Arabidopsis thaliana: one gene and its partners. The protein of the gene in region 2 interacts with the protein of the main gene of each other region in a pairwise test. Each region holds a gene or a part of one and is shown on either strand. Other genes may lie near its edges.

What was found. The genes of interacting proteins can lie anywhere in the genome.
Region 1: the proteins of ATG8D (region 2) and APG7 interact in a two-hybrid assay, tested with the Arabidopsis thaliana proteins (one large-scale study listed by BioGRID).
Region 3: the proteins of ATG8D (region 2) and AT5G65480 interact in a two-hybrid assay, tested with the Arabidopsis thaliana proteins (one large-scale study listed by BioGRID).

The regions. Positions count from the first base shown.
Region 1 is NC_003076.8:18,611,898-18,620,595, forward strand, and holds APG7 (ThiF family protein), read left to right. Parts: upstream 1-3,277; 5' UTR 3,278-3,406; coding exon 3,407-3,545; intron 3,546-3,825; coding exon 3,826-4,037; intron 4,038-4,121; coding exon 4,122-4,368; intron 4,369-4,458; coding exon 4,459-4,553; intron 4,554-4,632; coding exon 4,633-4,925; intron 4,926-5,008; coding exon 5,009-5,153; intron 5,154-5,239; coding exon 5,240-5,587; intron 5,588-5,675; coding exon 5,676-5,837; intron 5,838-5,933; coding exon 5,934-6,049; intron 6,050-6,126; coding exon 6,127-6,289; intron 6,290-6,365; coding exon 6,366-6,539; 3' UTR 6,540-6,700; downstream 6,701-8,698. Other genes in the region: SAG12 (senescence-associated gene 12), read left to right, coding at 1,403-1,856, 2,129-2,389, 2,537-2,862; AT5G45910 (GDSL-like Lipase/Acylhydrolase superfamily protein), read right to left, coding at 8,523-8,698.
Region 2 is NC_003071.7:2,080,995-2,088,144, reverse strand, and holds ATG8D (Ubiquitin-like superfamily protein), read left to right. Parts: upstream 1-3,262; 5' UTR 3,263-3,369; coding exon 3,370-3,406; intron 3,407-3,739; coding exon 3,740-3,846; intron 3,847-3,929; coding exon 3,930-3,954; intron 3,955-4,208; coding exon 4,209-4,264; intron 4,265-4,336; coding exon 4,337-4,389; intron 4,390-4,614; coding exon 4,615-4,733; intron 4,734-4,836; coding exon 4,837-4,934; 3' UTR 4,935-5,159; downstream 5,160-7,150. Other genes in the region: AT2G05632 (uncharacterized protein), read left to right, coding at 243-401; PGR5 (proton gradient regulation 5), read left to right, coding at 6,458-6,754, 6,837-6,941. UniProt on the Arabidopsis thaliana protein: Ubiquitin-like modifier involved in autophagosomes formation. May mediate the delivery of the autophagosomes to the vacuole via the microtubule cytoskeleton.
Region 3 is NC_003076.8:26,172,489-26,179,915, forward strand, and holds AT5G65480 (uncharacterized protein), read left to right. Parts: upstream 1-3,532; 5' UTR 3,533-3,684; exon of another isoform or gene 3,685-3,892; intron 3,893-4,236; 5' UTR 4,237-4,338; coding exon 4,339-4,753; intron 4,754-4,899; coding exon 4,900-4,946; 3' UTR 4,947-5,429; downstream 5,430-7,427. Other genes in the region: AT5G65470 (O-fucosyltransferase family protein), read left to right, coding at 1-42, 460-516, 615-696, 781-940, 1,030-1,233, 1,324-1,600, 1,694-1,921, 2,009-2,416; AT5G65490 (suppressor-like protein), read right to left, coding at 5,515-5,694, 5,782-5,942, 6,042-6,178, 6,275-6,613, 6,707-7,427.

The sequences.
Region 1 (8,698 bases), on a different chromosome or scaffold from region 2:
GTTGTGTTCATGAGGTGATTGTGATTTAATTTGTTGACTAGGGCGATTCCTTCACATCACAATAACAAAGTTTTATAGATTTTTTTTTTATAACATTTTTGCCACGCTTCGTAAAGTTTGGTATTTACACCGCATTTTTCCCTGTACAAGAATTCATATATTATTTATTTATATACTCCAGTTGACAATTATAAGTTTATAACGTTTTTACAATTATTTAAATACCATGTGAAGATCCAAGAATATGTCTTACTTCTTCTTTGTGTAAGAAAACTAACTATATCACTATAATAAAATAATTCTAATCATTATATTTGTAAATATGCAGTTATTTGTCAATTTTGAATTTAGTATTTTAGACGTTATCACTTCAGCCAAATATGATTTGGATTTAAGTCCAAAATGCAATTTCGTACGTATCCCTCTTGTCGTCTAATGATTATTTCAATATTTCTTATATTATCCCTAACTACAGAGCTACATTTATATTGTATTCTAATGACAGGGAAACTTTCATAGAGATTCAGATAGATGAAATTGGTGGGAAACATCATTGAACAGGAAACTTTTAGCAAATCATATCGATTTATCTACAAAAGAATACTTAGCGTAATGAAGTTCACTTGTTGTGAATGACTATGATTTGATCAAATTAGTTAATTTTGTCGAATCATTTTTCTTTTTGATTTGATTAAGCTTTTAACTTGCACGAATGGTTCTCTTGTGAATAAACAGAATCTTTGAATTCAAACTATTTGATTAGTGAAAAGACAAAAGAAGATTCCTTGTTTTTATGTGATTAGTGATTTTGATGCATGAAAGGTACCTACGTACTACAAGAAAAATAAACATGTACGTAACTACGTATCAGCATGTAAAAGTATTTTTTTCCAAATAATTTATACTCATGATAGATTTTTTTTTTTTGAAATGTCAATTAAAAATGCTTTCTTAAATATTAATTTTAATTAATTAAATAAGGAAATATATTTATGCAAAACATCATCAACACATATCCAACTTCGAAAATCTCTATAGTACACAAGTAGAGAAATTAAATTTTACTAGATACAAACTTCCTAATCATCAAATATAAATGTTTACAAAACTAATTAAACCCACCACTAAAATTAACTAAAAATCCGAGCAAAGTGAGTGAACAAGACTTGATTTCAGGTTGATGTAGGACTAAAATGGCTACGTATCAAACATCAACGATCATTTAGTTATGTATGAATGAATGTAGTCATTACTTGTAAAACAAAAATGCTTTGATTTGGATCAATCACTTCATGTGAACATTAGCAATTACATCAACCTTATTTTCACTATAAAACCCCATCTCAGTACCCTTCTGAAGTAATCAAATTAAGAGCAAAAGTCATTTAACTTTCCTAAAACAATGGCTTTAAAACATATGCAAATCTTTCTCTTCGTCGCTATATTTTCATCATTCTGTTTCTCCATCACTCTTTCTCGTCCACTCGACAATGAACTCATCATGCAAAAGAGGCACATCGAGTGGATGACTAAACACGGCCGTGTCTACGCGGATGTGAAGGAGGAAAACAATCGCTACGTTGTGTTCAAAAACAACGTCGAACGCATTGAACATTTAAATAGCATTCCTGCCGGAAGAACTTTCAAACTTGCGGTAAATCAGTTTGCTGATTTAACCAATGACGAATTTCGTTCCATGTACACTGGTTTCAAAGGTGTCTCGGCATTATCTAGCCAAAGCCAAACTAAAATGTCGCCGTTTAGGTACCAAAACGTTTCTTCTGGTGCTTTGCCGGTTTCTGTTGACTGGAGGAAGAAAGGAGCTGTGACCCCTATCAAGAATCAAGGCAGCTGCGGTATAACTCAAATCTTTATTCATATATATATAAGTGAAATCAAATTGAACCAACCGAAATTTATGTATTCAATCAATTTGAGTTAATTCATAGTGAACAAACCGATCCAAACCAAATCCATAGTGTAACTGACCGAATCGAATAACCATATTTTTATTAAATTTTTCTATGTTAAGTTATATATATTTTGTTTCATACCGTTTTATTGAGATATGTAGTTAGACACATGAAAATATTTATGATAGTGACACTAATGAGTGATGTTTTTGTAGGATGTTGTTGGGCGTTTTCAGCGGTTGCGGCTATTGAAGGAGCAACACAAATAAAGAAAGGGAAACTTATATCTTTGTCAGAACAACAGCTTGTTGATTGCGACACAAACGATTTTGGCTGCGAAGGCGGTTTAATGGATACTGCGTTTGAGCATATAAAAGCGACTGGCGGCTTGACAACTGAGTCAAATTATCCTTACAAAGGCGAAGACGCTACTTGCAATTCCAAAAAGACCAATCCAAAAGCAACTTCTATTACAGGTTCACTTTAGTTAAAGAGCTGGCATATAATAATTAAACAGATTAAACCGATTTTTAATCATATTATCCAAATTAATAAACATTACTATACTAGATAAAATTCATATTTTGAATCTTAAAAAGCTCATGTACGTTCACATATCATAGGTTATGAGGATGTCCCGGTTAATGATGAGCAAGCACTGATGAAGGCAGTGGCACACCAACCGGTTAGCGTTGGAATTGAAGGAGGTGGTTTTGATTTCCAATTCTATTCGTCTGGTGTGTTCACTGGAGAGTGCACTACGTATCTTGATCATGCAGTAACTGCGATTGGATACGGCGAATCTACTAACGGATCAAAGTATTGGATCATCAAGAATTCATGGGGAACAAAATGGGGAGAAAGTGGATATATGAGGATTCAAAAAGATGTCAAGGATAAACAAGGACTATGTGGTCTTGCCATGAAAGCTTCTTACCCAACTATATGAATTCAAAACCGTGTTAAGCTTTTAATTGTGTATGTTTGTGTGGGATTGATGTCTAAAAATAATTTGAATTGTTTTATGTAAAAAAATTGTATTTAGACTGTTGTATGCATTTTATGAAATTGTAAGCTTATGTAATGCAAAGGATTGATAATTTTCGAAATGTTTCTTTCAAATTTCAACGGTATTAGCTAGGGATAATTTGAAGCATATGCACAATCAAATTCCACCAAGTAAAAATGAAAATTTGTTAAAAAAATGAAGTTTGAAAACTCTTAACCATTTACTGAGAAGACTGTAATAAACCGAATTTGGTTCAGTTTGATTTTTATGGAAAAAGACGAACCGTCCGGTTAATGCTTTTTACTTTTTTAAAATAAACCGGTTTTGGTTTGCTTGGATATAAAGCCGACCCGACCCGGATTGACCATGTTCCTTGCACGACTCCTTTTTCTCACCGTTCTCCGTCATCGTCTTCTTCTTTCTCACATTCATTGACTCTCCTCCATAATAAACATTGCAATCTCTCAGAAAGATAAGATCAGCCATGGCTGAGAAAGAAACTCCAGCAATCATACTTCAATTCGCTCCATTGAACAGTTCCGTCGACGAAGGTTTCTGGCATAGCTTCTCCTCTTTGAAACTCGACAAACTCGGAATCGATGATTCTCCGATTTCAATCACCGGTAAACACACAATCATCGAATTAAAAAATCATCCAATGCATCGATTTTTATATATTATTCGATGAGTCTATGCATTCGAGCTCTTATGATCCGTTTAGGTTAGAGAAGCAAAAAAAAAAGTTGAAAACTTGAAAATCCTCTGTTTTCTGGGCAAGTTGTTATGATCCGTTTAGGTTAGAGAAGCAAAAAAAAAGTTGAGAACTTTAAAAGCCTCTGTTTTGTTTAGTAGAGATTATTCAGATTTAGAATTTATGTGCTTTTTTGGAACTGAAATTTTCAGGTTTCTATGGACCATGTGGACATCCACAAGTCTCAAATCATTTGACTCTTTTATCAGAGTCATTGCCTTTAGATGAACAATCATTGATTGCTAGTACTAGTCATGGAAATAGGAATAAGTGTCCTGTTCCTGGGATTTTGTATAACACCAATACCGTTGAAAGCTTCAATAAACTTGACAAACAAAGTCTGCTAAAAGCAGAAGCAAATAAGGTAAATACAAAACTTAGCTCCGTGACTTGGTTTTTACTGGTTCTTGTCTGCAGAAGTTTTAACAATTTTGTTGGTGAATTTTAGATTTGGGAGGATATTCAATCAGGAAAAGCTCTTGAAGACCCTTCTGTGTTACCAAGATTCCTCGTTATCTCCTTTGCAGACCTTAAGAAATGGAGTTTTCGGTATTGGTTTGCGTTCCCTGCGTTTGTACTTGATCCTCCTGTAAGTTTGATTGAATTAAAGCCAGCTTCAGAGTATTTTAGTTCTGAAGAGGCTGAATCAGTATCCGCTGCTTGTAATGATTGGCGCGACTCAGATTTAACTACTGGTACTCAACATTCTTGTTCTATTTTTTACTATTAAAATTCAAGGAGTGGTAGCTGAAAACCTTTTGTTACTTCTCCGTGTTTTGCTGTAGATGTTCCATTCTTTTTGGTTTCGGTTTCTTCTGATTCAAAAGCTAGTATCAGACATCTTAAAGACTTGGAAGCGTGCCAAGGTGATCATCAAAAGGTATGTGTTAACTAACTCTTCCATATGCGTTAGATACAGAAAAAACAAAATTCACCTTTATGTGTCTCTCTTCCTGCAGTTGCTTTTCGGTTTCTATGACCCGTGTCACCTTCCTAGTAATCCTGGCTGGCCACTTCGAAACTACTTGGCACTGATTCGCTCAAGATGGAACCTCGAGACAGTTTGGTTCTTCTGCTACAGAGAGAGTCGTGGTTTCGCTGACTTGAACCTTTCTCTTGTTGGTCAAGCCTCAATTACACTTTCATCAGGTGAATCAGCTGAGACTGTACCTAACTCAGTGGGATGGGAGCTTAACAAAGGGAAACGTGTACCCCGATCCATTAGCCTTGCTAATTCCATGGATCCAACAAGGTACATTTTTGCTCTGTGTCAATGATCTACTCAACTAAATGGGTAAAATCTGATTAGACAAACGGAATCACGTTCTTTCGCAGGTTGGCTGTTTCTGCTGTCGATTTAAACTTAAAGTTAATGAGATGGCGAGCATTACCGTCTCTTAACTTAAATGTATTGTCCTCTGTCAAATGCCTTCTTCTTGGAGCTGGTACATTGGGTTGCCAAGTTGCTCGTACCCTTATGGTACGTATTGAAGAAAATGCGAGATTTGACATTATTTTACAAACTCACTGATTAACTAAGAACTCGTTTATCTTTTATTTTCTTAGGGTTGGGGAATCCGCAATATCACCTTTGTTGACTATGGAAAAGTTGCCATGTCTAATCCAGTCAGGCAATCTCTCTATAATTTTGAAGATTGTCTAGGTCGTGGTGAGTTTAAAGCTGTTGCTGCTGTTAAAAGCCTTAAACAGATATTTCCAGCAATGGAAACTAGTGGAGTTGTTATGGCTATACCGATGCCCGGACATCCGATTTCTAGCCAAGAAGAAGATTCTGTTCTCGGTGATTGTAAACGCCTTAGCGAGTTGATTGAATCTCATGATGCGGTGTTCTTGTTAACCGATACAAGAGAAAGCAGGTGGTTACCGTCTCTTCTTTGTGCTAATGCCAATAAGGTAACTAACTCTGTTTCTTTATTTCTTCTTACTGGTTATATAAGTATAACAATCTGCTTGATATGTCGGTGTTTGATGTGAATTTCAGATCGCTATAAACGCGGCTTTAGGTTTTGACAGCTACATGGTAATGCGCCATGGTGCTGGCCCCACCTCTCTGTCTGATGATATGCAGAATCTTGACATAAACAAGACAAATACACAGAGACTTGGTTGTTACTTCTGCAACGACGTGGTTGCACCTCAGGATGTAATTCCCTGGTTTCTTCATTTTGAATTGTTTTGTTTCGTGTTACCTCCAGTTCAGTCCTGATTCGTCGTACCCACTCTTTTCTTGTATTTGCAGTCAATGACTGATCGAACTCTAGACCAACAATGCACTGTTACACGCCCGGGTCTAGCTCCTATTGCAGGAGCTCTCGCCGTTGAACTCTTAGTCGGAGTCCTACAACACCCACTTGGGTAAGCCTTTCGAAACTCGAATACATTGAAAATACAATCCTCAGGCTTATCGTCTTACATATGTTTATTACATACAGTATCAATGCAAAAGGCGACAATTCGAGCTTGAGTAATACAGGAAACAATGATGATTCGCCTCTCGGGATATTACCTCATCAGATACGAGGCTCAGTTTCTCAGTTCTCACAGATCACGCTGCTTGGTCAAGCTTCCAACAGCTGTACCGCTTGCTCTGAAACCGTAAGTTTCCACATGACATCATTCTTAGAAAACTGCGCTCGAGAATCTGATGATGTTTATAAACTTGTATTTTCAGGTGATATCGGAGTATAGGGAGAGAGGAAACAGTTTCATACTTGAAGCTATTAACCATCCTACATACCTGGAGGATCTTACTGGTTTAACCGAGCTTAAGAAAGCTGCTAATTCATTCAACCTCGACTGGGAAGACGATGATACTGATGATGACGATGTAGCTGTAGATCTTTAAAGACAGATTTATGTATCAAATGTCCATAGACTATATTCACTAGGTGGCTTCTTTTATGAATCTTTTGATAAGCATTTTTTTAAACTAAATTAAAGTACAAAGAAATGAAGAAATCAAATTCTTAATCACAGAATGATTAGTTCAATATCTACTAAACCGAAAATCACACCAACAGTGTATATATAATTTTAGATAATCATAGCTTATAATTAAATTTGAAAAGAATACATTCAAAGATTTTACATATCACATTAGCAAAAACTATGGAGTTTGCGTAGAACAAATCCACTCAAATAAACAGAGGTTAGCGTTGACGCAGCTCCATTCAAATCACAATTTAAGGAGATAAAAGGATAAAATTAGATTTGTTTAAAATTGAAATAGACATAACTTCTTTTTTTTTTTTTTTGCTAAATTGTAAATATTTCATAGATAATGAAAACAGTTTAGGTTACAAACATAAAATTTGAAACCTATATATATGGATCTATGGCAAAAAAGAATAAAAACATAGACGCATAAAAAACGGTTAATTAAAACCAAATTTTCGATCGATCTTCTCAACCTTGCAATGAATCTAAGGGAATAGATGAAGCGATGACGTTCAATTCTATCCTTCCCGAAAGAGATGCACAAGCAGAAGGGCTGAAACAGATTGTGATACACCAAAAAGCGATGGACTAAGAGCTTTAGAAGCCTTTCGTTGGAGGCCTGACATTGAGCCGTCAACGGTTCGAAACACAAAAGCATCAAACACATACTTTCCCTGCGACATGTGAAAGCGATACTTCAATCCAATCCATGAGCTCTCCCGAAAGCAGAACCTCACACGCCAAAGTAGCAAAAGATGCAAGCTCCCTCTAACCAAGTTCATTTCCCGAAGTCAGCAGCGCAGAGCAAGATAAGAACTAATCACCACTACACCAGAAGCCATAACATAACTTCTTTATATAGACACAATATGTTCTTTCTTTTATCATTTGAAAAACACCGTCAATAAATTTTTACCATCTACGAAACTACGATAACTAAACTTATTCAACTCTCGTTCACCGTTTTAGCTATCTTCAGCATTTTCGTGCTTGGTATGTATCTATATCTAAAATCGACTAAATATATTATAAACAAACGATCTAAAATAAATGTTTGTGAATGCCATGTTAATTTTTTTAATATCAGTTCATATATATTATTTCCAAACATCAATATATATGAAATCAAAGAAAACTTTTTTCTTTTTAATTTTTAATAAAAAATAATATTTTGGTGTAATAAACAGGAGTGGTCGAAAATGAGTATAAATGTTCGGAAATTCTGTTTCGAAAGAGTAAGTGTGATTATCAAGAGTGTGGGTTGATGTGTGTTTTGAAGAGGCAGGGGTTGTCAAGTTGCTCTAATGAGGGCATATGTTCTTGCCAGTATCAATGCCCTTAATTTTTATTTTTTACTATGTAAATCAAATTATATGTAAACTTTAAAGTAATTTGCTTTACATGTTTTTTATATATGCATTATCCATTAGAATGTATTGTTTCTGTTAAAAAATAAATTACAATTTCTAAGTTAGTAATTTAATTAACTGTTTTTATAAGAAAGTATGGTAAAACGCCCGGAGATGAGATTAGATGCAATGTGGTGGATATTTTAGCATGGGCAGTGAAATTTTGCTAACTTAATTCTGTAACAAAAATGTGAAAGGGAAAACAATGCAATCTATTTATTTATGTATACTCTACTAACATGTATATGAATCAGAACCGATCTAGTTGTACCTTTTTCATACATTTAATGAAATATTTCTATAGATTTTTTTCCCCAAAATTGTCGTTAATAATGTGAAGCCCAAAGCTATGAGTTTTTATGCTTATGCTCTCGAACGAGCTTGATATAAATATGATCGATTTATAGGTTTTCAATTAGGAGTTATATGAAAAGTTTGTGTGTTAAAAAAAAAGTTACAACTTATGAGTAACTTAATTGTTATTAATTATAAGTAGGCATGGTGAAACGGCCGGAGATGAGACCAGTTGCAATGTGGCGGTAAGCCGCTTCAGTGAGGTGAATTCCGTCCCAATTTGCGTACGTTGATGGATCTTCGCAAGTGGTTGAACCCTTTTCTCCGCACCGCACGTTTGGTTGCACGTTGTATCTTCCATCTC
Region 2 (7,150 bases):
TTTTTTTTTAAAATGTGTGTTTTAAACTAATACATCTAAATGAAAGAAGTGTTTCTTTTGCGGACAAGTTTTCCTGGCTTTTGCTATCCCAATTGAATTGGTTTTTTTTTGTCCAGTATCTCCGCCTTCTACAGTTGTGATGCGGGCCCTCTTTCTGGCATCACCGCCTCCTATAGGCGGCGTTGGCTAGCTTTGCTTTTTTAACTCGCCGTCCAGTGTATCAGGTAGTTCCAGTTTTGTTTATGCGTTTGTTTAATTGTCTCGATTATGAAGAGTTCCAATATGTGAGATTGTTAGATCAGGAGAGTTTTCTCAGATCTACTTCTACTGACTTGTTCTGTTTTACCGTCGGGATTTCTTGTTTTCGGCCCCTATGGTTTTTTGGCAAGGTTGTTTGTTGATTGCATTGTTGTATCTACCAGTTTTCTTCGTTTTAATTTTCAAGACAGTTATGCGCCTAAGTTGTTGCTGAAAGCTCCATCGGTTTAATCTCCACGCGGATTTCCTTAGAGTTCGGGAGGAAATTACTTTGAGAAGTTCTTTTCTTTGCAGATTTGATAATGAAGATTGGTGAGATTCTCTAATTAAAAACCGTTAAGACTTCTTTGCTTGAAGATCTGGCGATTTCTGATGATTTTGGAGTTTCCTAAGGATTCTTACCAAATCGACAATGACCAACAACGATATATGCTTCACATGTCCATGCGTCTTAACCTTGCTTCATAGTCTCACATGTGGCTTTGCGTTGGAATCTTTAAATCTTACTTCTACAAAGGGTTTAGTTTCCTAGATTGGACTTTCTTTAAGTTGGGCTTCTTCTTATAAGTTAAACTTGTTGGTTCTTTGGTTATGCAACATGGATGCTTGTTTAGATAATCTAATATTGTAAAATTTGATGTGTTTGTCGAGTCATGTAAGTGAAAGATTCCACTTTTGCAACAAAAGTTTTAAATAAAGTGCAACATTTATGAGAAAGAAAAAAAAAAGGTTTTATGCAAAAGGACTCTCCAAATGATTTTTTTTGCTAGACAAACATCCATCTCAAAAAAATACAGGTCAATATCACAGTCTCAAAAGTCACCTACAATATAGTCCTTCCGTATATCGATGACGTAACAGTCGATAACTCCGTTGGAAGACATAAGAGTTTTGTTAAACAAACCCTCCATATATTTTTTTATTTTTGCAAGACAAACCTCAATGTCAAATAAATACAATATTACAATCTCAAAGTCACCCGCGATATAGTCATTTTGTATAGCGATGACATGACAATCGATAATTCCGTTAAAAGCATAATGGATATCAAAATAGACCTTTGTTTTGCTTTTGTTGAAAACCACATGATTGTGTGAGTTTCGTTATTAGAAATAGAATTGAGGGAAATAATTAGAGTTCTTTCATATTATATCTTCTTCTTTATTCATATGAAGTTTGGAGATTCATTTTTCTTTTCCATTTCGATCTTCATCCATTTCGATGTATGTGTTTGTTGAATTGTGTTCCACATGATCAAAAATCTTGGTTTGATTTTAAGTGATTCATTTACAGTTTTGAAGATCCCAATGAAAAATAAATATGAATCTCCAAATTTTCAGATAAATAAAAATTCAATAATTTTGGTGTATATTGTTTTATGGGTAATATTAGTAGATAACCAAATAAAACATACAAATTAAGAAACTAGCAGAGAGAAAGTTTTTTGTTACAAAATAACCATGGATCCCACGTTGTCGGAAGAAAGGAAATAACAAATCTACCCTTCATTTGTTGTAAGATGAACAGTAAACGAAATACATCCGTGTAATTTTTCAAAATAGCATGTAACATTAAAATTTCACATGTTATATTTAGTTTAAAAACATGCTATTTCAAAAAACGTTATGAATTTTTAAGAAAAAATATTCTTATGAAATTCTTTTACGTGAACAGAATCTTAAAAAAAAAAAATTATATGTGATTTTAATAAAAACCATGTATTACTAAAAAATAGGAATATATTTTTAAAGAAATCACGTGTGATCTTAATAAAAAACGTGTATTACTACAAAATATCATGATAAAAAGAGATATTAAACTGAATAGAATGTTTTTTCCAAAAAATACCAGGTGCTTTTTAATAAATACTATGTAATAAGAGAAAATAACAAGATAAAAAGAGGATATTATGTTATCGCATGTATTTCGGAAAAATAACATGTTACAAAGGACATTTACGTAATTACACGTGTTTTCCAACATGTTTCCGACAAGATACTGTGATTCAAGGTTAGTTTGTACATTCTTTTCAAATCTATAGTCATTTATTATAAATACTCTTGTTTTATTGTATGTTTTCTAATGTAGTTATTGGTTGTCATGTCATCACTACACAAAAAGATAATATTATGAGTGATTTTTAAGATTGTAGTGTTGACATTCATTTATTTGATATGAAGATTTTTTTTTACAAAAAAAGTTTACATAGAAATTTTTTACACTAAATCTTTATGTTTTTAATAGAGTTATCGTCTATATCAAACCTACATTTATTTGACATAATAGTTTATCTTATAAAAAATGACTTCATCTGTTCTTTTTTATTTGATTGGTTAGGAAAAACACACATATTAAGTTAAACATATTAAAATTGTTAAATGTATTATTTTTTGTATTTTACAATTTTTTATAACTTTAAATCAATAATATTCAATTATTTTTATCAAAGTTTATAATTAATTAATAATAACTAATAAATATTTCATAAAAAATCTAAAAATTAATCTTTTAAAAACTTATTTTTTTCAAAAAACAGAGAGTGTTAAATAGATAGATTTTTTTACACAAAACCCAAAAAAAAAAACTAAGACCTTGAATGTTTTTTAGATTTTGTAAGAGTTTTTGATTTTTGTTTTTTAAAAACTTATTTTAATACCAATCAAGATTTTAAAATTTTGGTTTCCCTACAATTTAGTAAAACTATTTTATTGTAGTTTTCCATTCATATTTAAGTTTTTTAGTTTTTCTAAAGTTTAGAAAATCTAGTTTTTACTCAATCAACGTTATTTTTTCAAAAACCAAAAACCAATTTTTTAGGGGTTTTTAAAACAAAAATATAATAACAAAAATCTAAAATCTATAGACTAAAATCTAAACTCAAAAACTGAATCGAAAATATCCATTCAGGCCTAATACATCCAATATTTCAATACTTCTTAACTCTTAACTCTTAAGTTTTAAGTAATTAAATATATAAAGATCTGTTGCCAAGCGTACCCTTTTTATAAACATTCCAAATAACTATCTCCATTCTTTGGAGTTACCCAATTTCGACGTTGAACACAAACCCTTGCTTCTCTCTTCTCTGTTTCTCTCTCGCAGCGAAAAATCATGGCGATTAGCTCCTTCAAGCATGAACATCCTCTTGGTTCGTTTTCGATTTAAACCTAATCGATCAATCTTGTTGATCTTTGTGTATCTCTCTCTCATCGTAGGGATTTTTTTAGCGACTAGGTTTAAAAATTCTCAAAATCTGGTTACGTCTATTTCAATTGCTTCTGAGTTTGCATGAATTGATCCTTGATTCTGATTTCCAACGATTTCAATTTTGATTGCGTTAACAGTTATAAGAATCCGCAAAATTATATGTTGAATGATTTTATCGCCGATTCTGTATTGTTTCGTGAAGTAGTATGCATAATCTTTGATTGAAACAAGTTTTGTGTTTATTGATGCAAATACATTATGATCTTTATTCAAGTGGAGATGAATATTGATGTTGAAGTTACTAAGTTTCACTTGTCTCTCTTGTGTTCCGTGGTCGAGTCTCTGTTGTTCACGGGGCGTAGAATCGCTATTTCAGTCCCTGTACATAATCTTTGATTGAAACATGTTCTGATTTGGTGCTGCTTTTGCTGAGGAAGCAAAATACATTATAGTCTCTGTTCAAGTGGAATCCTAAGATATTATCACTGAGTATGTGTTGTTCACGAGGCTTAGAATCACTATTTTAGTCCCTGGAGCCTGGAGTAGTAGTGTACATAATCTTTGATTGAAACATGTTTTGATTTTGTTCTACTTTTGCTGAGGAAGCAAAGTACATTATAGTCTCTGTTCAAGTGGAATCCTAAGATATTATCGCTGAGTCTGTGTTGTTTTACGTGGGTTAGAGGATGTTGATGTGTTGAAAATTGATGGATCTGTGTTTTTTTTGCTCTTGAATGTTACAGAAAAGAGACAAGCTGAAGCAGCACGTATCAGGGAGAAGTATCCAGACAGAATACCAGTATGAATTTTGGCTATTTTCATTTAAGAAAATTGCATAGCTTTTGCCTTATTCTCTCTGAAATTGTTGCAGGTCATTGTCGAAAGAGCCGAGAAGAGTGATGTCCCGGATATTGATAGGAAAAAGTAAGTCCTTACTTCTCTTGAGGAGTTGGATATAATCTCTTTCTTCTCACTGAAAGTGGCTTCAAGCCCTTTTCTGAGAACCCTACACTCCCTCACATTTAGTAATGAATTGGTTAATTGGATAGAAATAATTTTTTTTTATTGAAAGATCTGGAGGAATTTCTGGTTTTCATGGTTTGTTGCTTAGGGATAATGAATTGGCTGACTTACTATTCAAAACTTTAGGTACTTGGTCCCAGCTGATTTGACTGTTGGCCAGTTTGTTTATGTTGTACGGAAGCGGATCAAGCTCAGTCCCGAGAAAGCCATCTTCATTTTTGTCAAGAACATTCTACCACCAACTGGTTAGTTTCAAACACGTTCCTTAATCATATACTTTTCCAGTTCAAGGAATCATATCTTTTTCTCAGTTGAGCTAATAGTAGTAGTGTTATCCTTTTATTGCAGCGGCAATAATGTCTGCAATTTATGAAGAGCACAAAGACGAAGACGGGTTTCTATACATGAGTTACAGTGGTGAGAACACGTTCGGGATCTTCTTCTAATGCGCTTGGAATATGTGGATGCATCAGATTATCAATGTACAGTCTGTCTATTTCTCTGCTTGTCTCTAGTTTTCATGACATTGGACGAAGCTTTTGAAACTTGCATGCTATGTTATTAACATGATAAGGTCTTCCGTTCATGGTGTTAATTTGGCTTTATGCTACACTTAATTTCAAACTTAGTCGCTATATATAGTTGAGGTCACTTGGTGTCCTCCTTGAATATTGGCCCGGCCTATTTCACTAGTCGTTGAACCGTTACGATTTCTATCTTCTCAAAGTTAGCTCGACCGTCAAATCTCTAAGCTCTTGCAATCTCTGCTTCTAAGGAACACAAAACAGAGATAACTTTAGCTATAAATATTTAGATTTCAAAAGCAACTTGATTTAGGTAAATTTGTGCACACTCTAGAATAGATTATCATCTGTTACAGATTATTACTGTACAATCCAGCAAAAACTAGGCCTGGGATTTCGGATTAACCCAATGACCGAACTGAACAAACCGTTTTTTTGGTTCTGATAACCGACTATGAAGGGAAGGCTAAACCGATCGGCGAAATTATAATTGAAGTTCGGTTCTCGGTTCGGCAGACATAACCGATCAGTTTTCTCGGTTAATAGATACTATAAATATAAAGATAAAAACATTAGATCTAATCTTTTTAGCTTCTTCTCCGTTTCCTTTTGATCCTCATCCATGGCTATTTAGTCAATTCTCTCTATCTGCATGTGGTTTTCACTATGGTAGCACGTCGGGGCATATTTCGTTACGGAGATATCGTCATCCCTCGCTATCACCGTCACCGTCACAGACGTAGATCTGCTGATTATGAAGAGGGTAGCGGCACCAAGATACCATCAACCCTAATTTTTAATAGGTTTGGATTTTTAGTTATTTTGGGTTTAAGTTTGTTTTTCGTTTTGGCCCAATTATTGGTTTGTAATTATAAAATTTTGTTTATCTTCGCCCATTCTATAATTTTTGTTTTGACCCATTATCTTGATTTTGGACTTATTCGGTATAAACTAACCGAACTAAAAAAAAAATCGGTTTAGTTCAGAGTTGATTTTGAATCCTATAACCAAACCGACCCGAACCAAATCTTTATTCGGTTTAATTTGACAAAATTTTAAAGAACCGAAAAAACCGATTAAACCAAACCGAACCGATTACCCGAATAAACCGAATGCCCAGGCCAAAAACAACTGAAAATAAAAAATAAAAAATGAGATAGGAGAATATTTAATCCGACGGTGGAGAAATGTTGATATAATAAAACGTGATACAGAGGATCATAAACCCGCAACATGAGAAACGTAATAAGTTAAGTCAAAAAAACGAAAAAGCCAGAATCATATTTGTGGCTCTGGTTTCTCCATCCAAACAAAAACAACACCCAAACCTTGTCCACACCAAAATGTTAAACTCAAAATCCAACCACACACACACAATTTCTCTTCCTCTCTACCATTAACATCGATCAGAAAGACCGAGAGAGAGAGGGAGAAGCTGATTGATTATGGCTGCTGCTTCGATTTCTGCAATAGGATGTAATCAAACTTTGATAGGAACTTCCTTCTATGGAGGATGGGGAAGTTCCATCTCCGGAGAAGATTACCAAACCATGCTCTCCAAGACAGTTGCGCCACCGCAACAAGCCAGAGTCTCAAGGAAAGCAATCAGAGCAGTTCCAATGATGAAGAATGTCAATGAAGGCAAAGGCTTATTTGCACCTCTAGTTGTTGTCACACGCAACCTAGTAGGCAAGAAGAGGTTTAATCAGCTCAGAGGAAAAGCCATTGCCTTACACTCTCAGGTTTGCTTGTCTTATAATCATTCTCTTAAGAACTAGTCAAAGAAGCAAAGTTTTGTGGAACTGGGTTCTTTTGTTCTTTCAGGTGATCACTGAGTTTTGCAAATCGATTGGAGCAGATGCAAAACAGAGACAAGGGCTTATCAGGCTTGCTAAGAAGAATGGAGAGAGGCTTGGTTTCCTTGCTTAGGTCTTAAAAAGAACAAATCTTTCTCTCTGCTTGTGTCTGATATATACACTCACAACTCCTCTTGTTGTTCTTGTCTAGATGTATTTTGTCCAAACCTATAATCTTGATTTTTGTTACATTGCCTTTGAGGGTTACTCAAACACACATAACTGCTGCCATTCTCATCTGAAAAGTTGTTCAATAAGGTCTTAGCTGAACTAGTTTTCTCA
Region 3 (7,427 bases), on a different chromosome or scaffold from region 2:
GTTTTGTTCTGCAACAACGTTTCGACTTCGTCTTCTTCATCTGTGAGTTGGGCAAAACTAAATTTTCTATCTTTCCCTGTTTTTCTGGGATTTGTTTTGGTTGGACTCCGGGGAAATTGCAAAATATCAGCTTTTGGGTTTTTTCTTTTTCTTGTCTCTGGAAAGTTCACTGATTTTAACATATCCTGAAATAGTAGGTTTAACTTGCCTAATGAAGAAATTTCTCAATTTTGAATACTTTTGTAGAAAGAGACACCAACGGTGGTTGTGTTTTTCTGTATTGATTATTCTTAATTCTGTGGTTTGTTGAATTTAAAGATTTTATCAGGAATTTGACTAGTTTGGGACCGGAATATATATACACTTAGACTTGTTCAATTTCAGGTCAAGAGTCTCTCTTGAGTTAAGTAGTGAAGTTCTCTTGATTATATATAAAATCAAATCACTCTTTTTTTGCAGGAAGTTATCACGATTAAGCCAAGACATTTATCCTTGCTAAAGAGTGCTTTACAACGGGTAAAATTGGATGATTTTATAAAAGTTTCTTTGTCGATCAGTTTTCGATTTCAGAAAGTAAAAAAGTTTGATGAGATTTCTTGTCTTTATAATTTCAGTCAAGTGGAGAACAGTCTGATCTATGGAGGCCATTGACTGATCAAGGATGGAGTCCTTGTATTGATTTGGGAAATTCTCCTTGTAAGTATTGACAATTTGTTTGAAAATTTCTTCTTTAGTTTCAGATTATATTGATCTTTGACTAATCTTGTTGTCTTGGAGCAGCATTACCGGATAAAACCGCGGGATATGTTCAGGTATTTCTTGATGGAGGACTTAACCAGCAACGAATGGGAATATGTGATGCTGTTGCAGTTGCGAAGATTTTAAACGCAACACTCGTGATCCCTTATCTTGAAGTGAATCCTGTGTGGCAAGATTCAAGGTAATGTTTCTTGAAAAATTCTCTGCTGTTGAAGAGTTGTGTTGTTGCCTCGGAAGCTGATGTTGTGTGTTTTTTCTTTCTGTGTGCAGTTCTTTTGTTGATATTTTTGATGTCGATCATTTTATCGATTCTTTAAAAGATGACATAAGGGTGGTTAGAGAACTACCTGATGAATACTCTTGGAGTACAAGAGAGTATTACGGTACAGCAGTACGTGAAACACGAGTGAAAACCGCGCCTGTTCATGCCTCTGCGAATTGGTATATTGAGAACGTCTCACCAGTTCTACAAAGGTCTGTCTTGCACTTAATCTGACTAATGAAAGTTTAAGTTTTTGACTTTCAGACTGTAATTGTTTGGAGCTTTTTTGTTCTATTTTGTAGTTATGGGATTGCTGCCATTTCTCCATTCTCTCACCGGCTATCATTCGACCACTTACCTGCTGAGATCCAACGACTAAGATGCAAAGTGAATTTCCAAGCTTTACGTTTTGTCCCTCACATTACATCACTCGGTGATGCTCTTGTCAGCCGCCTTAGAAACCCGTCATGGAGAAGCAATAAGGAACAGAAAAATGTTGATCATTTAGGAGACATGACCAACCCACACAGAAGACAAGAACCCGGGAAGTTTGCTGTGCTTCATCTTCGCTTCGACAAGGTAAATTATACTTTATTCCAATCATCCTATTCAAAACTTTTGGTGATTGTTGTTAGTTATTTGATCAAGATTTTCTTCTTGTTATGTTTATAGGACATGGCTGCGCATTCAGCGTGTGATTTTGGCGGAGGCAAAGCCGAGAAACTCTCCTTGGCGAAATACAGACAAATGATTTGGCAAGGAAGAGTGTTGAATTCTCAATTCACTGATGAAGAGTTAAGAAGTCAAGGACGGTGTCCTCTAACACCAGAAGAAATGGGACTTCTTTTAGCTGCTTTCGGATTCGATAACAATACTCGTCTCTATCTTGCATCCCACAAGGTCAGAATTCTTCAGTTACATTACTTGTTTAAAGTCTGGTTATAATGTGATGTAGCAGAATATTAATCACGTATTTTTGAATTACAGGTGTATGGAGGAGAAGCTAGAATCTCAACATTAAGACAAGTATTCCCAAGAATGGAAGACAAAAGAAGTCTTGCATCTTCTGAAGAACGAGCTCGAATCAAGGGCAAAGCTTCTTTATTAGCTGCACTTGACTACTACGTTAGTATGCACAGCGACATTTTCATCTCCGCATCACCTGGAAACATGCACAACGCTCTTGTTGGTCATCGAACATTCGAGAATCTCAAGACGATCAGACCAAACATGGCGTTAATAGGACAGCTTTTCCTCAACAAAAGCATCACTTGGGTAGATTTTCAGCAAGCGCTTGGTGAAGGACATGTGAATAGACAAGGACAGATCCGGTTAAGGAAACCAAAACAGTCGATTTATACTTATCCTGCTCCTGATTGTATGTGCCATGTTTGATTAGTTTTTAAAGTCTTGATCTTTAGATATTTCTTATAAGAATAAAAATAAAAACTCTGATTCTTGATGAGGCTAGTTTGTGTTTAGATTTGTGTTCTTGAGGCTTAATAAAAAGAGTATAGTTTGATTAGAAATTTGATTGTGAATGAATATTACAAATTATTGTAGCGATAATGATAATTTGATCAAAAATAAGTAAAGAAGATCAAGTGGATAATCCCTTATTAACAACCACAAGTGTCTAGAATATGCTTATTAGTAATAATCCCTTCAGATTCATCAACCTTCAGATTCTGATGAATGCACTATTTTTATTTTGTAATCATCTTATAAGAATTTATTCTAATATTTGAGAATTGAAGATGTGAAACTTTATGAACAATAAATTAGCACTAGTAGAGCCTTGAATTGTGGCCAAGAAAAGCTGACGACCTATTGGAAAAAGGAACCTAGAATTTTGTTTCTTTGTTTTGTTCTTTTTATGACGTCTGTTACCCATAATTTTGCAGGTTTTTTGGCGACCGTTGTTAATTAATTAAATATATTAACATATTTATTACTCATACCATTTATTATGGGTGGGTGATGTTTTAATAAAGTACTTAAAGTTTTAAGATCAATCCTTGACCCTTGTGATATACGAGTAGTATAAATTTCATTGATTTTAATAGAGATTTTAATTAAGCATCTCTATAATTACACAAAAATCCATAGAGAAACCAGATGATTGAATCGGGGGAAATGCATGAACTTTAATTATTTCCGATTGATAATTCCAAGATTTTGTATCATCATTATACCAAAAATTAAAATTAACAAGAAAATCGATTTGTTTTATTAAATATAAAATGTTGATTTATTACGTATAAATCCCTGATATTTGTTTTTTGTTTTACTTTTCTGAATGGGATATAATCAAGTGTTATGAAGTGTATAGTAGAACGGTGGACCGACAGTTGCCACGAAAGCAAGTAAACCGCTACCAACCGTCGGATCAATCTTTATTGGCTTTGCAGAAGCGAGGCCCAATTAAAACGGCCTAAAATAAATAAACAAAAGAAATAAAAAAAGGAGAAAAGAGAGTAATATAAATGAAGCAGAGCAGAAGATGAGCTTCTCTGTACAAAGTCAGAGAAAAGTCAGAATAAGAAGAAGAAGAAGAAGAAGAAGAGAAAGAGAGTCAGAGACGACGACGGACGAAACGACGCTATTCTTACGCTTTCTTCGATCGTCGATTTGATTTTTTCCCTTCCTTCTTATTTTTCTCGGTAATTTACTACGTTTCGCAATTACCGGAGATTTTTCTCTCTTCTTCCTTCCGATTTTTTCGCATTTATTTCCGCCGAATTTTCCGGCGAAGCCTTGCCGTCTTTTGACGGACATCGGAGGCTTTTGATGATCATCCTTTGTTTCTTCAATTGTCGACCGCTTTCGCTTTTCTATTTTTTAGCGATTGTTTTTTTTAATTGGACCACCGATCTGATGAAACATTAATTACTTTCCATTGATGAAGAATCATCGAGTGAAAATTTAAAAAAGAAAAAATTGAGATCTTCGTTGTGTTTATCCTGAAATTTCATTGAAAATTGAAATTGAGAAGAAAAAATTCTGTTTTAATCATAAAATCTCGTGTTTGATATTATGTTGATGAGTTAATCTAATCTAATCGATCACATCATAAACAGTATTAATGGATAAGAGATTTTCTCTATTGGCATCTGAAATTTGTGTTAAAGTCTTTGTGTTTGGTCAGTGTCATCATTATGTTGACATTATGATTGTTTTATTGATGGTTGATTTTATTTTTAAATTGTCAACAGGTTGAAGTAGAAGATAAAGCATCGATACATGATGGCTGATTGATAAGAGTTTTCTCCGGAGAGGTTCGGAGTTTTTTTTTTAGAAAGGAAACATTAAAAAAGATGGCAGTCTCTTTTCCTCGTCTTCCGAGGTGGTTGTGTGGTGGTAGTAACACTAAAGATAGAGAGAAGAAAGAGTCAATTCCTAAAGGATCTTCTTCACTTAGTCCTTCACTGAAGAAGACTACTACTAGTAAGACTGGTTCTTCCTCTTCATCAGTGAAGAAGACCAAGAGAGGATGGATTGGAAGAGGAGGATCAGGATCAGGAGGGGAAGAGGATAAGATTGGGAATGTGGTGTTTCCTGAACCTGATGATCCAGAGTGGTCAATTGGTTGGGTTGAGCCACATGGACCAGGTTTTAAAGCTGAGGATGATGATTGTGGTGGCTTTGTGGTTTTGGTTCCTCTTTACAAGAAAGTTATGGATGGTTCAGGGAATCAGATTCCGAATGGCTTCTTCTCTCCTGCTGCTCCTGGTAATGTTTGTTTCCATTATCATCATCATTCATTAATAGCTATCATGTAAATTATCTGCATGTTCTTTTAAGAACTTAAGTAATTGGTTTGAGTCTTTTGTTTGTAAATTGATTTGTTCTTTGTTCTGATGACATGTAAACTGCAGATGGGAAGAACATGGAACAGTGGCTGTCGTCTATGGGGAAGCTATAAATTGGAGATTGGGAAGAATAAGACTAGTTCTCTGTTGTTTCAGTATCGAGATTTAAGCATCGAATAATCTAAAAAAAAAAGAAAAGGAAAATAAAAAAAAAGAAGAAGCAAGATTCGTTCGTGGATATAGCTTCTGGAGACTTCTTTTGATTTTCTGTTTGAAGCGAGTGACAACAAAACACCAAGTCATATCTCAAGAATCTACTAATGGACAAAGATGATGCTGATGGAGACCTAGCAACATGAAGATGAATATGATATGATTTGAGTATTGGATATTTTTCATGTGGGTGTTTTTTTCCGGTTGTGAAAGCGTTTCTGCTTCACTTCTGTGGTCGAGATAAATTGGGTTTGGAAAAGGAGAAAAAAAAAAAAAATCTTTTTTCTTTTGTTCCTTTGTGGTTTGATGATGTGTAATAGTAGTAATGTACATGTACATATGTTGTTTTCTTGAAATCACATGTCATGTGCTTACTTTCGACAACACAAAAACTTCCCCAACAACGTTACTCACGATTATGTGATTAAACAAAGTGAACCCAAAAACAAACTACATTTTGATAAGCATTCAGTTTTTGTCGCCGGAATCTTTTGGAAGCTGCAAACCCATGAGGCCGAGCAAATTGGAAGCAGGACCAGGAAGTCCTTGTTGTGAAGAGTAGGATTCAAGTAGGTTCTTAACAAGGTTAAAATCTGCATCAACTGGTGTAAACTCATCATCCTTCTCATCTCTAGTTTTTGATGATTCCTGCAGAGACATTACATTCATCTCATAAATACCATTACAGTCAAAATCTAAGCTCCTAAATTCACTGAGTCTAGTTATGAGAGTTACCTCGTTTTGCTTAGAAGAATGTTGTTGATTCACATTTTCAAAGCTTTTCTCAAGAGTTGAGTTTTTCAGTTCCTCATTCATTGCTCCATAGTAGGATTCCTCAAAGCTTTCCTTAGCATCTTCGTTAGATTCTTCTCCTTCGCTATCATCTTCAACGTCATCTGCATACCATAACATTTTAGTAAGTCCCACATCACATTTCACACCTTATAGATCAGTATATGTTGCCATTAGGAAAAAAAAAAAAGTTTAGGAAATACCAAAATCCATGTCCATGGAAGATCCTTCAGAGCCATCACTGTCATCATCAGCTTGTTCGTCACGACCTTGGCTTCCTAGCATTGACTCAATATCTTTCATGAAACGATCAACATCTATACTCACTTCTTTGAAATCCCTACATAAGTCCAGAAAAAAAAAAATTAATGTGTTGAGCTTGAAATTAACAAAGAGATGTTCATGAAAAATGATTAATGTTCAAATAATGGATAACCTGTTTTCTGGAACTTCTGCTCCTTTGTAGCTTGATACCTTGTGCATGAATTGCTGCATCGACTTTGAGATATCACCGAGATCAAAATTGTTCATGTTTGCATCAGATGAGCTTCCAGCTTCTTGCTTCTCCTTACCTTTATTTTTGCGTTCCTTCTTTGAGTTATAAAACTCCATCTCTTTCTGCCTCTCTTGAAGAACAGAGTTTAGTTCATCTTCACCATCGTAGAGCCAAGAATCATTGTCAGAAGCAGGAACTTCCTGGCCCTTAAAGTCATCCTCCGAATAAGGTAAAGCAAGAATCTCATCAATACGTCTCACCGGTGCACTCATAATGTCTCTGCACATAAATAAAACAAGTACTCAAGATCATATAAACAACTCAAAGATGAATCCTTTTTCACTACCTATAGAAACAAAAAACTGCAATTACCTAGTCCTCGAAAACGAAGAACTCTTCTGGTGGTATTCCTCAGCATTCTCCATCAACCTCTTATACTCCTTCGAACCAGAAAGCAATCCTTCAAAATAACCATACTTCTCAAGATTGTCTTTATACTTGCTCCAACTAATCCCTTTCCCATCTTCTCCTTCCTTCTTCCTCTGCTGGTACATCATTTCCATACCACAAGCTATCTTCATCCCTAGCTCAGCTTCAGAGAAAGCATCCCTGTCACTGACACTAGGCATTGGATAACAATTCGGTGCTTGAAACTTCTGCTGCACTAGCTGCCCATACATAGCACGAGACATCTTGACAAGAACAAGCACAAGCTTCTCTTCTCTTCCTTTGCTCAGAAACTTCTCCATCTTCGCTGCGTGTTTCATTGAATCCATATCACGATCGTAAAACCCTTCCACAGCAAGTGAGATCAAGAAAGGTTCATGCCTAATCACTTGAGCTACCGATACCGGAACCCTAACCCTAACACGATGCATATTCCTCCACGCTCTTTCAGGATAATCAGATATCCGATTCTTCAACGCAGATTGAACTGAATCCGACGCACGAGATTCGTTACCACGCTCGATTAGAAACCGTAGAGACGCAACCAAAGAAGGATCAGGCAAACGGCTTCTGGGAACTATGTGGAGGTCACCACCGCGAATGAAGACACGATTGAGACTAGTCTCCGGATTAAGCCAACGCGGGA